3 linked regions of the Oryzias latipes genome follow. The protein of the gene in region 2 interacts with the protein of the main gene of each other region in a pairwise test. Links are inferred from orthologs where the notes say so. Each region holds a gene or a part of one and is shown on either strand. Other genes may lie near its edges.

Region 1 (5,063 bases), on a different chromosome or scaffold from region 2:
CAAAGCATAATTAAAGAGATCTAAATTAAAGAAATGCAAAAAAAGGAGAGGCAGCACGACATGAACAGATCCGCCTGTCAGGCTTTTTTAAAGCGTTTCTGTTCCACCTCCAACCAACAGAGTTTCCATGTCAGCCTGTGTGTTTGTCCCCCTCATTAGTGATGACTGTATTAAAATAAAACAGCACAAAGGACATTCCTGTGGAGAAAGATTGGTCAAAGTTGAGAGGGAGCATAAATGAAAGCTGATGGTGTTAGTAGACCTTAGTAGGGTCAGGAAGCAGCTTTATCTCAAGGTTTAAAGTGACAGATGTTCATGTGATTTATGGAACTGAGGTTCTCTTTAAGCTGCAGGAATAATGCAAAGAAATATTCAAGCACTTTGCTGGTAGAAGAGTTAGGAACCACATCTTTCCTGACTCAGCAGTCACCATTGACTCATCTTTGGTCTCCCCCTCCCCACAGGTGAGGGTGTGGGTGTCCGCCTGGACAGCTCATTATCTTTTCAATCCCGTATCAATACTGTTGCTTGCTCTGCCCATTTTCACTTCATTGATCGTCTTCGCCCCACCTCACCGTCCACTCTGGTCACGTAATCCTCTCCTCTTTGGTTACCCTCAAAAAAACCTCTATACGCTCCGACCGGCCCAGAACTCTGCATCATCTGCAGAACCCCATCCTTTGGTCACATCGCCCCACATGCAGTCAGGCCTTTTCCTCACCAGCTGCTCCAGCAGCTGCACTGGCTTCCCAGAACCTCCAGCAACAAATTAAAACTCCTGCTCCATAACCTGACTCCTCCTCCTCTTTGGGACCTTCTCCTTATCAATACTCCTTCTGCTCCTCTTCTTACGTCCAGCTCTCCGCTCCCCCGGCCCGGCTCATTACCATGGGGAGTTGAACCTTCAGCTGCTACGCTACCAAACTCTGGAATTCTCCTGCTCCAGACCACCGTAACATAGACTCTCTCCCAAACTGAAAATCCCAAGTCAAATCTGTTCAAATCAGGTTTGCTCTCCAATTTCCCTTTCTGTCATCTGCTCTTTACTGTATATTTGCTCTGGTACAGTGTCCTTGAGCTTCTTGAAAGGGAATGCAGGTTTTCCAGATGTTCTTGCCCATCTCACAGTTGATTACCTGGATCAGGTGTGTCCAGCCAATTAGAACAAGGCAGAGAAAGGTATGTTGGGAAACCAGCAGGGACGTAGCCCTGGATGTCCTCGCATAAGGGGGAAACTGTTCGCGTTTTTGAAACATCTGGTGGGAAAAAGCCCACTACACTCCCATATCATGATGAGAATTCATCAAAGCTGTGCTTTAAAGTTACACATCTTCCAAATAGTCTAGTGAAAAGCCCAAATGTTTCGTGTCATCTGCACCCCCATGATGTCATCACTTTCTGGTTCTCTGGACCTGGGAATCTGAGTGGTGGACAGACCTGGGATGTCTTGGTTTACTGTCAACACATCCCAGGTCTGGAGGGGATTCTAGAGAGGGTTCAGACTCCTGGTACAGCTAAAAAGCATGGGGGTGGAAACATCATGCTATGTGGCTGTTTTTCAGCCAGGACGACTGATCCGTGTAAAGGAAAGAATGAATGGGGCCATTAATCGTCAGATTTTAAGTGAAAACCTTCTTCCATCAGCATTGACCTTGAAGATAAAACATGACTGGGTCAGCAGGACAACCAGCCCAAACACACGTTGCCCGGGTAACAAAGGAGTGGCAACATGTCCTGGAGGTCCTGGAGTGGCCTAGCCAGTCTCCAGATCTCAACCCCATAGAAAATCTTTGGAGGGAGCTGAAAGTCTGTGTTTCTCTGCGACAGCCCCAAAACATCACTGCTCTAGAGGAGATCTGCATGGAGGAATGGACCAAAATACCAGCAACAGTTTGTGAAAACCTTGAGAAGACTCAAAGAAAATGTTGCCAACAAAGGGTTATAACAAAGTATAGAGTTGAACTTTTTTATTTATCAAATACTTATTTTCCGCCATGATTTACAAATAAATGCTTTAAAAATCAGAAAATATAATTTTCTGATTTTTTTTCTCATTTTGTCTCAGTTGAGGTTTACCTATAATGAAAATTACAGGCCTCTCATCTTTCTAAGTGGGAGATCTTACACAATTGGTGGCTGACTGAATACTTTTTTGCCTCACTGTAAGTTCATTCCAGGACATAAGCCATCAATCACAATTCTTTTCATGGTAAAAATTGATTTTATTCATTAATTTTCTTTATTTAGCCAATCAGTGTTAAATTGGAGTCATTTTAATTTTTTTAAGAAGTTTGCAAACAGGAGATGTCTTTTCCTGTCATGACAAACAGGTTTTGTGCCTCTATTGCTGCAGTAAATTCAAGAAGAAATGTGCAGAGTCAAAAAAAATGTTGATTACAAATTTTTAGAGCATCGTCTGAGAATCAAGCATTTATTTTTGGATTATGAACATTTGGAGAGTACAGTAGTGATAAGATGTATTAAGATGAAAAAGATGATAGTAGGGAGAGAGCTCAACAGCAAAGGTTTTGTAGCGTGTTGTGTAATCCAACTGTATCAAGGACACTTCCTACATTTAGGGTTCGTTCCACTTAATGACAGAGATAGACTGATGTAGAGAGCAGGTATCAACTGAAGTAACACACAGCACATCATTTGGACCCAAGAGTTGAAGTTCCTGCTGAGAAGTGTGAGATTGAATAAATCATTGTTCCCTTCTATTGCAAACCCAGCATTTCCCACAAAATGAAGGAAATGAAGCTGAAATGTTCAGTAGCTAGCACTGATGTGATGGTGCCAAAGACCTGAAACCTGAAAAAAAGAGAAGCAAACTCCCACTTACGGCTGTCATAGCAGATGTTACCAAGAGCTCGGCCAGTCTGCAGCAGCACCTCCTGGTCGGTGGAGTTCAGGAGCTGAACCAGAGGAGGGATGAGGCCTGCATCCACACAGGAACTCCGCATGAACTCTGCAGACAAAACAGGAGCTTAGTTATAGCCCAGCATGCACAGGTACGGCCCCCGCAGGCACAGGTACGGCCCCAGCAGGCACAGGTACGGCCCCAGCAGGCACAGGTACGGCCCCTGCAGGCACAGGTACGGCCCCTGCAGGCACAGGTACGGCCCCAGCAGGCACATGTGCGGCCCCCGCAGGCACAGGTACGGCCCCCGCAGGCACAGGTACAGCGCCACAGGTATGGGTTTAGCCCCTATAAACACAGGTACGGGGCTGCTTCATCTCAAAGACGCCTATTGCTGCATTGTATTTAAGTGTGTTTAAGAATCTAAGAATCTTGTTGTTGTTGCATGTGTTTAATGTTAAAGCCCCGTTAGCATGTAGTTGTGTGACATTTATTCTCTGCAGTTGACCCATCCTCTGGGGGAGCGGCGAGCAGCAGACACAGACGCGCTCGGGAACCTATTGGTTAGCGTTAACCATAACCCTTCTCTGGTTCCATGCGAGCCAGAAAAAAACTTTAGCACCGGCTGCGTGCATTTAGAAAATTACATGCGAATAGACACTTTCTAAAAAGGAAAGTAAGGAACTCCTCCTGGTCTGGGGAGGGGGCTGTCAGGTTTCCTGCTCTAGATGTTTTTCCTGCTTCAAACTCGCTCATTGTCACTCCCCCAACAGTCATTTACCCCACCGTGAATGATTGGTTCGTCAGTTCCGCACACAACACTGAAAAGTGTCATTCAAAAAAAACTGGCGGGATGCACAAACATTGAATTTTAATATTAAGGTGGGGGCAGCAAAGTATTGTCTTGGGGGGTCGCGAGTTTGAGACATCATCCATACAGTGTTACATGGTTTCTCAAACAGAGAAAATGTGTAGATCATTAATATTGTAAAGGCTCTAAAATGACTCATTTTACAAATATTACACATGCGTGCACGAGTCTGTCGGAAATAACACGGAAAAACAAAAAAGGGCCAACGAAGCAACATTAGCTTAAAATTATTATGCTTTTATTATTCTACATACAAAGGGGCTCATGGAAGGGTAAAAAAAACTCATGCAGGGGTAAAAGAACCCCATGGAAGGGTAAGAGACCCTCATGCAGGGTAATTCTGATTTGTAAAACAAACAAAACACATCAAAACGTGCAGATGTGTTTCACATCATTAGAACATCAAACTGCAGATATTCGTTCTTTCACAGACGGAGCCCCAGGCAGGCGGATGGTTCCTCTTTCAGTGTTTTTCAGGTCGGTCCAGCTTTTATGACATTTCCTGATAATTGAGGCCAAACTAGAAGAAACTCTGCAGGTCAAACCATGTTTATAATGAATCGTTCAACTGTCTGAAATGGAAGGAGCCGTCTGTGGCGAAGTGGCTGACTCTTCCGGAAGCAGTGACAGATAAATGCCGGCGGCCCGGGGGCAGGTTGGCCAAGCTGCCTCCCACCCATCATTAACTGCAGCCCTGCCAGCTCAGAACCCGCTCATTATCAGAACCTTTTCCTGCTCCAGGCTGCATTCACATGAAGGCTTTTTCCGGACCTTACGCAGAGACGAAGAGGAAAACGGAGCTGAGCACGCCTGCAGTTAGTTCAGCTCTACCAAGCTCTCCCAAAAGCCCTGAGGAGAAGGCCTGACTGCGTACAACCACGGGGTTCTAACACCCACCTTTGATTCTCATCAAAACATTTAAAAATGAAGCATTTAAACCAGAAAGAGACTCATAGCAGCCCTGAGAGCACAGGAGCTTTGGAAGTGGACCGTACCATTTTTAGCCAGTTCTGCTATTATGTTGGCCACTTTGGGGGTGCATGAAGACTGGGGGTTGAGCAGGTTGGGAAAAAGAGGAAGGATGCCCATCTCCTGGATCTTCATGCTGGCTTCAGTGTCTGCAGGAGAAAAAAGGCCAGTTAAGAAGATCGCACCAGAACCGGAACTCTGCTTTCAGACCAGAACTTTCCAAACCCGCCGGCTCACATTTCATGCAGAATCAATAATTATACTTTTGTTTTATCTGGTGGTTGTTGACGTGGATCTGTCTGAGAATGACCCAAAGAATTACATCAACACACTTTGGGTTTCTTTTTCCCACCTAAACCTTTT
Region 2 (5,828 bases):
GCACATCATGACCACCTTTGACCGGCAAAGGCAGCACATCTCTGTGAGGCGAACTGATGAGGAGAGAAGAAGACACGTCACTTTACTGCATTGAGACACCAGCTTGATGATAATGATGGTATTTTATTTCGGACGCATACTTTAAAAGGAAAAGTAGGGGAAGATTAAAAAAAGAAATATTTGATGCAACCAATATACACTCATATAACTACACATAAACAAATATATTAATAGAAACATACACGCAGGGGAAAATCTGACCCACATTTGGCATGATTAAACCCCAACACATCCAAGTGGATCCCTGCTGGATTCAAATTTATAGTTTGGTTGTGTTTTGTATATATACATCTCTATCAATAATAACATTTCTATAGTTAGTCCTAAACTTCTATCTGTTTGGACATTGTTCCAAATTTAAACTTCTGTTCCAAGTTTGATTGTAAGAAATCACTGTCAGCCCATCTTGAGCATGGGAGGTCTTACCGTTCACTTCTTAAAGTCCAAAGGTTTGCATTAAAGACTCAATGGATTTCTATATGGACCTGTAAAAAGACAAAAACGTCACATTTTCCATTTTGCACATTCAAAGGACAAGGAAAAAAGCTGATATACTACATTTCTGTGGTATAAAAGTATCAATTATTGCTAATATTTCATATTTAAGATTGAAAAAATCTATTTTGTTGTTTCCCCTGACTGATTACACATTACAGACTACTGTTTTTTATTTTAGATCAGATACAAACACTAAATATGGGTGAATATGAACTTGTTTCACTATTGATCAAATGTCAGTAAATTATTTTTCCGATTAACAGATGATTTTCATGAACCCAGTTTTATGGGACAGCACGTAGTAGAGATTATATATCAATTTAACCTGGGATTAACTGACTATAAGAACAAAGGTTCCCTATCGAGGCCCCCCAACAGCTGTTGTTGGCATGGTGACAAGCTCACCGTGACCGTCAGTCTGAAAATAGTGTGTAAACATTTACCTGTAATCTGACGTTAAACACCATTGAGGCTACCAAGTAAAAGTAGGGGAATCGTATTCTCAGCCGCCATGCGAGATCAAAAAATATCAACAAAGTCCTCGTCAAGCCTTTGGAGAATAGTCCGTAAGTCCGACCAGCGGAGCCCGAAAACCGGAGCACCAGATACGAAAGACTCGCCATAAAAGCCCAACCCTGAGCGCTGTGTTCTTGGCTTACAAAGGCAACAGGCAAGGGGACGCTACAATGGCTGCAAGTGTTGGATGAAGCTCCATTCTTCTATCTTTCACCCTCAACGAGCTCCGTCTTTTGCTGCCGTTGTACTGGCATCTACTCCACCCTGTTAGTTTTCTACCGAGGACAGACATCGCTGCGACACACGGAAGTGCAGTAAAACCAGGATTAAATAAAACCCCGAGTAAAGACTGAAAGGACTTCCAGATCTGGGTGGTGGCTAAGGAAAAAAAAAACACGTCCTAGACACAACTACTATGGTTCTCATAAAACTAAACAAACAGAAACATAGAAGAGGTTTTTTGAGTTACTAAATATGTATATATGTTGTTTTTGCACCATTACAAAACCAGGTAAATTGGTTTGTTTTCCAGAAGTTCACTACACAAAAAATCTTGAACTGAAGCAAAGTACTACAGACTTTTTGGAAATACAATGACCAACTAATCATTGATTGTGTTACATTTTTGAAGCTAAATATCTTTGTCGTATTAGAATAGGCACACATTGACTTTTTTTTTCTTTTACTACTTTATTTTTTAATACAGTGCATGTTTGCTGGTATGGTATAATTGAATTTATCGTGGTGTAGGGGTGGGAGAGCAAGCTATCCTTCCATCTCCAAAAAAACTTTTTCAGCCTGAAAGGCATAATTCAGGGAAATTAAACAACACACCAAAAATTCCATTGTAATCGTAAATGAACCGTAGACGCGTCAAAACTGACGTCAGTTCCACCCTAGGTGTCACACCGTAAATATTCCGTCTTCGACGATTTCTTTTATTTTGTTTTCATTAAACCAAAATGTAATATTTTAGTTTTCAAATGTTATTTATATATAACTTTAAGCTTTATATTTAAGACCAGAGTAGCTGACCCTTTTTTTTACTACTAGTTTGAGGCTATCTTTTCTTTGGTTAAGGTGTCTGTGGGCGTGCGCCGGATGCCCTATCTTGTAGAGCTGGCTTCATTTTTTTTTCTCTTTAGCTATAGGGGTGGTGGCCGCTGTTTTGCTCCATAACTCATAGAGCAGCTCACGAAAGCATGGGAATGTTGCCAGGGAATTTCTGAGTTTAGTTGACCTAAAGTCCGAATTGAGTCGCCGCAACTTTATTTTCTAACAAGCCGTTCTCCGTTTAGAAAGTTTTGAGTTAGCGCGGTCGACTGTTAGCAAAGACTGTTGGGTAGTTTCACTTGAGAGGAGTTGCGGACAAAGGACAAGCTATCCGAGCTAACGTTAACTGGCTCTGGGCTAACTTAGCATTCCTGTAGCTGCGGCGCAATGCAGGCCATAAAGTGTGTCGTTGTTGGAGACGGGTAAGTTGAACCTAACTAAACTCACTGTGATATTTAACATTTAATCGACAGTTTTGGTATCAAACCCTGAAACCGCCAGTGATGTCGAAAAGTTGTCATTCGACATAAATGTTGCGTCTTATTTTTGGAGTTGTAAAGTTAGCCAAGTTATCGGTTAAATATTGGACTTTCAAGTTCTTTTCTTTTTTTTTCGAAATGTACAACATTTTGTATTGCATTTGTTTTTCCCCTGATATTACCGTTCTGGATCCAATGTTCCAGATTTTTTTATTTATTTACGCCAAAATCAGTGAATAGAGTTAGATTGATCTTAGATTTGTTTTGAAGTTATTTTTGAACAAAATGGGCAAAAATTATATGTACTTTTTCGAAGAGTTGAAATTTGTTTCTTCTTCTGTTGTATTGACACGGGCGTGTTTTTGTGTTACACAATAGTTAAATTAGTAGGTTTAGTTTGCAATATTTTAAAGACAGGATTGTCAATGAGCTAATATTGAAAGTCTGACTGATGTGTAATATGCTAGAGGTAAACACACTTGTAACGTCTTGTCGAGGGTGCGGCTGGTCCCACCGCAGCGGAGTCGTCCCTCGACCTCTCCGACTTTTGTTTTGTTTTCCGTTCCGACTTGAAGAAACTCTAAGGCACCAGTTCTCTTTAAAGTTTCAAAAGTTTAAAATATCTGCTTACTCATCAACTAGCCTGGAAGAGAAAAAAAAACCTTATTTCCTGAAATCAGTGCACTCATTCTATCAGGAGTGCTTCAATAAAACTGACATTACCTACGAGATGATAATAAATGATTAACTGGCAATTATTGATTTTTGATATTGGATTATTTTGATCCTGCTTTTATCCTACGGATGATAATGTGACTCTCAGACTTCCTCCTTTCAGTTTGTTAAAAACCAAACTTTGCGTAGTGTCCACATTTAACTTGAAACTATATTTTTAATGGTTGTAATTATTTCAAGTAACTTTGATGTTATTAAATAAAATGCTTGGACTGTTTTTAGCTTTGTAAATGTAAAATAATCGAACAACTTAAGCCTGACTTTAATGACAGCTTGTATATGTTTTATTTTCCTGAATTCTGAACATAACATTTCTCTTATTCAGTGCTGTGGGTAAGACATGTCTACTCATCAGCTACACCACCAATGCCTTTCCAGGAGAGTACATCCCCACAGTGTGAGTGTTTATTTATTCATAATGGCTAAGCTGTCTGTCATTCTTCTTCTGGACAGTTGTTGCTTAACTGTGTCTTTGTTTCATTTCTTCAACTGGTCTTATGGGGGAATATTAGTTTCCTTGTACATAAGAAGTCACTTTCTTTTTTAACAGGCAGCTGTTTGGGTTCAGAGAAGCATTTGTTATGTAAAATTACCAGAAGTGCAACCAGCTAGTTTATTTTCTTAGTTGTGGGATCTGTGGCTTTTTGGGAATTTGTCACTCAAAACACTTTGGTTCATTCTGATTATTTATAAATGTACATTCTGCTTTTATTCTGATTCAAGAACAAGCTGAAAACATGTACTGCTGATGAACAAGGCTTTGATTTTTGACCCCCAAAAAACCTGTTTGATTTATCTAATGATCATAGAAATTCAGAAATATGTAGCAAGGCTTGAATGACATAACTGAGTTTTTATGAATGCTTGATTCTCACAGGTTTGATAACTACTCTGCCAATGTTATGGTGGATGGGAAGCCGGTGAACCTGGGCCTTTGGGATACAGCTGGACAAGAAGACTACGACAGACTCCGCCCACTTTCTTACCCACAGACGGTACAATGACAAAAATAGTCAGACAAGGTGTTATTTAGTTGATAACTTTTATAAATAATTAATTGGGAGCATTTGTGGTATTCAAATGTAGAAGAGGGTTTTAAAGAAAGTTAAACAGACCACCTTAGCGATAGGTTATTTATTTTTATTTATTTTTTGCTCAACAGGAAATGAATTTCATGGACTCTGAACCTTTTTTGTCTTTGTCTTACAGGATGTGTTCCTCATCTGCTTCTCTCTTGTGAGTCCGGCCTCATTTGAAAACGTCCGTGCCAAGGTTAGTGGTGCCTGAGCAAAAAACACTAATAATACAGATGTGAACACGTTGACTTTTTTAATGTTGGTAATTAAAATACAGACCTGTGTTTTTTCATATACAGTTTATTTTTATTTTTTTGTAAAAAAAAAAAAAGTGTATTTAAAGAACAATTTCAAGAGATGTGTACTATTGATTGGCTTTTTATGTAGAAAACTGGCCCAAAACACATACATTTTATTCATATCTAAGGCTACATTTTTACTATTCCCCAATCTTCTTACTTTTTGTGTTTCTTACACTTTTTTGTTAAATATTTAAAACATCCAGCATTAACAGTAAAGTTGGATCCCAATTAAAGACACCAGCATAGCCGCGAGCATCATGGCTCTTATGTTTTGGAGAGATAGAAACGCACAGGAAACTGCACTTTCCCGAGTGGCGTAGTTTTTGTTTATCTTTCACAAAACAGGAGTGCTGCTTTTTAAGCTTATTAAGGGGGGGTAAAAAACTTTTTATCCTTAAATTGTTGCAGTTATGCAATCGGAAATATCTTTTTGTTAAAATGATTTTGTGTTTTTGTGTAGTGGTACCCAGAGGTGAGACACCACTGTCCCAACACTCCCATTATCCTGGTGGGCACCAAGTTGGATCTAAGAGATGACAAGGAAACTACGGAGAAGCTGAAGGAGAAGAAACTCTCCCCCATCACTTATCCCCAAGGTCTAGCTATGGCCAAAGAGATCGGTAGGAGTGTTTTCTCATCCTGCATGTTTTGGATGAATTTGTTGAAATAAAAGGGATCAGAAAAGAACCACTTTCTTTAGGGGACTCAAAGGCTCCTCTTGTCTTTTTTTTCTTCCTCAGGTTCTGTCAAGTACCTGGAATGCTCAGCCCTGACTCAGCGTGGCCTTAAAACGGTCTTCGATGAGGCTATTCGGGCCGTCCTGTGCCCCCCACCTGCAAAGAAGAAGAGCAAGAAGTGTTCTCTCCTTTGAGACGTCCTGCAGCACAGCAGTTAGAGGGGATGTGACTCCTAGTGGGGAGCGCGGCTGCATTCACAGGAGAAACACACTAGTATGTAAAAACAATGTGCTTCAGATTCTTTCCTTCCATAAGTGTAATTACAGCTGTTTTAATGAAAAAAAAATCAACCTAGATGTAGGAGAGGGGTTTGGACTTCAGAGAACCCTTGATAATTGTATACTGTACAGACAAAGCTATGAATTTCTTGAG
Region 3 (4,499 bases), on a different chromosome or scaffold from region 2:
AATGTGACCTTACCCACATGTCAGAGTCACACCAGTGTAAGGATATGGGATTTAACTGCTTTTTTCATCATATTTTTTTTCCTTTGATATTTATTTACTTTCTCTAATCTTTCAGGATGAAAGATCCTCGATAATAAAAAATCTGCGGTCTGACCTCCACCAAGAACTGAAGATAACTGAGCCTGAAATTGACCTGCTGGATGAAGCTTTCAAACCAGCTTTCTCCACAGTGACCACGTCTGGAAACACCAAGTTATCAAGAGACGTCCAGTCAAAACGAAGCCGCAGCTCTCCATCTCTGTCCTTGCTGTGCACAGAGCAGCTGTCAAACACCTCTCTGGGTGATTGTGGGAAGGCCCCTAGATCTGATGGCAAAAAGAAGCAGCCCTCAGAATCAGACCTTTTGTTGTGCGTTCACAAAAACGGTGATGCGATCTCTGCTGGAAACACTCAAAAAGTTTGTCCCGCTGATCCAACGCATGAATCAAAGGGGCCCAAAGAGCAACGAACCTCCTCTTTGCAGATTCAAGCTTCCTCAAAGGAAACCCGGTTGAGTCATGTTTTAAAACCTTTGATTTTAAAGGACTTTCCGCAGGTCACACGCTTCCCAGGCACAGCCAGAAAATGTCTGAAGCACGAGGTTCCTCGGGAGAAAACGGAAAAGTCAAACAATGCAGAAAAGATCAATGAGATTCAAATGATAGAAAGTGGACAGAGGATCTCGGTTTGTTCACAGGAGACAACCAATTTCCTGGAGCTTCCAAACCTCGATGACGAAGAAGGATTTGGGAGAAACCTGGAAGAGCTGGACTTGGTGGAGTCCTGGGAAGATCTTTGCTCCACCAAGCAGTGGGTCACAAGTCCTCTCCATTCTCCAGATGTGGAGGAATTGTTTGACAAGCTATCACCCTTCAGGTCAAGCACGGATACTCCAGACTTGGATACTGTAAAGATTTCATCTCTTTCACTGGATAAATTCAACCAAAGCTCCCAGCATTCCAGCACTGACACAGAAACTAAACTGACTCATTGGCCATCAGCACCAGTGCAAATGGAACTGAGCAGATGTAATGCAAAACAACCAATAAAGAGCAGCACAATAAAGCCAAAGAATACAGTATCATCTCAGAAATTTCTCAGACAATCATCTTGTGATGCAGCCTTGACAGAGAAAAGAGAGGACAGTTATCTGTCCAAGCACAGGCCCTGTTCTCTGAACCTGGACTTGGGGTATCGATGCATTAAAGATATCTCAAACCAGCAAAATCGAGACTCAGAGTTTTCTGCCACACATAGAGGATTACTGTCCGGTGGAAACAAAGTCCATTCAGAGCTGGATCTGTTTCTAAATGATCGTCAGGCGCCTCTTCGGCGAAACTCTGCGCCAGTCAGTGTGTCGTCAGTGCGCACAGCCTTCATGATCAAAACGTGTCAGGCCAGAGCTGTGCCAGTCGTCCCTCCAAAGGTGCAGTACACCCAAACTCCTCAAACCAGACAAGAAAGTCATCTTAACCCAGTAAAGAAACAAGAAAGAGAATGTCCAAAAATGAGTGTAGAGACAAGCAATGCCGCTCCTGCTCCAAATATGTCAGATCTGAAGGAGGAGCTAGAGAACAAAGAGCCCAAACACCTAAAACATCCAAATCTTGACAAACCGGTTGAGTCTGGGAAGACCACATCTACTCCAGAACTGCCCATCATTACCAGGAGACACAACCCCAATTTGGAAGTGTTTGTAGATTGTCCCAGACCCACCAAAGGGAATGTACACCAAAGGCCTTCCTTCAGGAACAGACAGAGACCTCAGAGTCTCATTCTGCTCAGTCCCCCTTTCCCCATCATGGACTACCCCTCATCAGGGGACGACGGAAAGCTCCTTTCATCTATCAAGAGTCTGAATGACACGTCGGCAGTGAACGTCCTCTCTAAAGACATAGCAGAGAGTATCAGGACATCAGAGGGACTATCTCTTCAAAATAAAATGACTATTCCAAAAAGTGGGCAAAGACTGGAAACATCAACCAGCTGCTTCTACCAACCTCAGAGGAGGTCAATGATATTTGACAGCAGAAGCCACAGGCAAATAGAGTGACTGCAGTCCAGTGTATGGCATCTAAAAATGTTCAGCGTTTGAGGAACTTTGCCTTGGAGATGGAGGGCTCGCTGTTATGATAATCGGTTGGAAGTCTGCTTGAAAAATAAAGCATATGTTGATGTAAAGGATTCCTGATGAATATTTTCTTAGTGTTCTGAGTCTCTTAGCTTTAACATTTGCTCAGATATCAAGCTGTAGTATTCTGCAAGGAGCCACACCTCCAGTGAAAATAAAATCTCTATCTTTGCCAACAAATGCTTTCATAAACCTAACAGTTTTACAAAAAATTGCTTGAAGCTAATTTCTCCTAATATTTTCTGTACAAAAAAATGAAACTCACATTAAAATGTTATGATTTTTTACCATTATTATTATTATTTTTTTAACATATTATCAAGAATGAAATAGTACAAACTACACGGATAAAGAAAAAAAATAGTGGGCCGGCTCTTTTCAAAAAGGGTTTTGGAAGAAAACAAAAAAGTGGACTCACAGATTATAGCCAATAAGGATTACGTTTTAGATAAATTTAGGTTTTATTGAAAGCCCTCCTCTAATTTGATTTTTTAAATTAGTATATGACTAAAAACAAAAATATTTTGAAATGTAATGATTTCCTGAGGGTGCCAGTCCTCCTGCATCTGCATGCCTTCTATCTAAATGTGTTTTTACTTCAGCAATAAGGTCTTTAAAGTTTTTTTTCTGTTGTGTTCAAACATCTGTGCACAACGACATTTATTTCTAGATGTACAAAATTGAAAGCAAATTTAAAATCCTCTTCTTTTTTTGTTGAATGTCCCCCCAATAAGCCATTGTTCTTTGTATCCTGGCCAAGTTTGGCTGATTTAAAAGTTTTAAGTTTTTATCTTTGATTATTAAAACTAATTTAAAGCACTGATTTGATTTAATCGGCTTTTGATTTCAGAGGACTTAGAAACATCATGAACCGTTATATTTGCTAATATTTACAAGTGTTTTATTCCATTTCTGCACATTCATTTTGCATTTAGAAAAATAGACATGAGTGGAGGGGTCTTATAGTAAAACATCAAACATATGTATAACCTAATTTGATTGATATTCCCACACCTGGTCTCACAGAAAGTTACAGCACAGTTATAAAAATATTTAACTTTTTGCAGTTTTTTATTTCATATTAATATTTTGGCAGCAATTTTATCAACTCTAAGCTTGTTTTTGTTTATCATCATTAGAAATAACAAGTTTAATCAATCATTTTTTCCTACTTTTAGTGCTCAGGAAACTTTGCCCTCAGATTTTTCTAAGAAATACTGTTCTTTTTGAATATTTTAGAGTTACTTAAATTGTTCTTTAAGTTTTAGACAAGAACTTAAAGATGAGAAACTTCTCATCATGTGCCTTTAATGAACAAGCACATTCTTCCCCACACCTGCTTCCAAAAGTCCAATTTCCCCAGCCACCCTGTAACAAAATTAGGGAGAGTCACATCTATACAAATCTTAAGACTGTTACGTTATAAATATTCAGTTACAACAATTACAATTAAGTCAAACAACTGTAATAAATCTAATTGGTTGCTTTAAAACCCATCTTAAAATTTCTCAACAAAATTTCCATGTAAAAATTCTATTGTGAAATGTTTCCCTCTTGTTTTTAAAGAAGCACAAAAACGTAAAATTATTTAGGTTGAAAATGTTCAGATGTGTTTTCTGAATGTACCAGGTAGTCTCAAAACAGCTTAGTAAATGTTGATATCTCCGTTTTTTGTTTTACAAAATAGCTCACTGAAAGCAGCATTTTAGGCTGAGCTGCTGCCTGAATGAAGAGGGGCCCCAAGATTGATGGGGACTTTAATCTAATGCGATTCTCCTCCATCTGCACGTGCTGCATGGGGATTTATGTTACATTTGCTCCAAACACCGAAATGCTGCTCCTACAAATGGACAATATCTGGCTGTTTTTCAACTTTTTGATTTCTATCTAGAGATTGATCAGCCTTGGCCACACTTTAACCATGAGATCAGCTTGATTTTTCGCCGCCAGATGGCGTTAATGATCCACACCGAACCAGAAAATTACCAAAGCGGATTCTGAAATTCAGTGCTTGAAGGGTAAAAAATAAATACAGACTGAGCTGGAAAGAACCAGCAGGTGTTCTGATTGTGTAAGCAGACGAAAACGCAGCTTCCATGTCCGCAAAGTTGCGTTTTAATTAGAGGTAATTTGGTTTAAAACCAAAAAACTTTCTCTTTATAATTTTGCTTTTTGTTGTTGGCTGTTCCTAAAAGGGCCAAAAATATTAAACACCACTTAGTGGTCCTTAGATCATATTATTGTTTATAAGATTCATTTCGTGGGTTATATTGCTGCGTCGCGGTGCGCTTAGTACTTCGCCCTACTGTTTCTCAATTTAGTAAGTATT

The links.
Region 1: the proteins of ras-related C3 botulinum toxin substrate 1 (region 2) and rap1gds1 interact in binary tests that used the Homo sapiens proteins (3 or more experiments, as listed by UniProt). The link is inferred for Oryzias latipes from reciprocal best matches to the Homo sapiens genes RAC1 and RAP1GDS1.
Region 3: the proteins of ras-related C3 botulinum toxin substrate 1 (region 2) and arhgap31 interact in a two-hybrid assay, tested with the Homo sapiens proteins (2 studies listed by BioGRID and IntAct, with this or other methods). The link is inferred for Oryzias latipes from reciprocal best matches to the Homo sapiens genes RAC1 and ARHGAP31.

Annotation. Positions count from the first base shown.
Region 1 is NC_019876.2:29,298,650-29,303,712, forward strand, and holds part of rap1gds1 (rap1 GTPase-GDP dissociation stimulator 1), read right to left. Parts: intron 4,850-5,063; coding exon 4,727-4,849; intron 2,969-4,726; coding exon 2,843-2,968; intron 1-2,842. UniProt on the Homo sapiens protein: Acts as a GEF (guanine nucleotide exchange factor) for the Rho family of small GTP-binding proteins (G proteins) that stimulates the dissociation of GDP to enable subsequent binding of GTP.
Region 2 is NC_019866.2:11,731,776-11,737,603, reverse strand, and holds the start of ras-related C3 botulinum toxin substrate 1, read left to right. Parts: upstream 1-1,966; 5' UTR 1,967-2,514; coding exon 2,515-2,549; intron 2,550-3,666; coding exon 3,667-3,738; intron 3,739-4,218; coding exon 4,219-4,336; intron 4,337-4,550; coding exon 4,551-4,613; intron 4,614-5,179; coding exon 5,180-5,339; intron 5,340-5,459; coding exon 5,460-5,590; 3' UTR 5,591-5,828. UniProt on the Homo sapiens protein: Plasma membrane-associated small GTPase which cycles between active GTP-bound and inactive GDP-bound states.
Region 3 is NC_019872.2:14,130,757-14,135,255, reverse strand, and holds the end of arhgap31 (rho GTPase-activating protein 31), read left to right. Parts: intron 1-115; coding exon 116-2,092; 3' UTR 2,093-2,989; downstream 2,990-4,499. UniProt on the Homo sapiens protein: Functions as a GTPase-activating protein (GAP) for RAC1 and CDC42. Required for cell spreading, polarized lamellipodia formation and cell migration.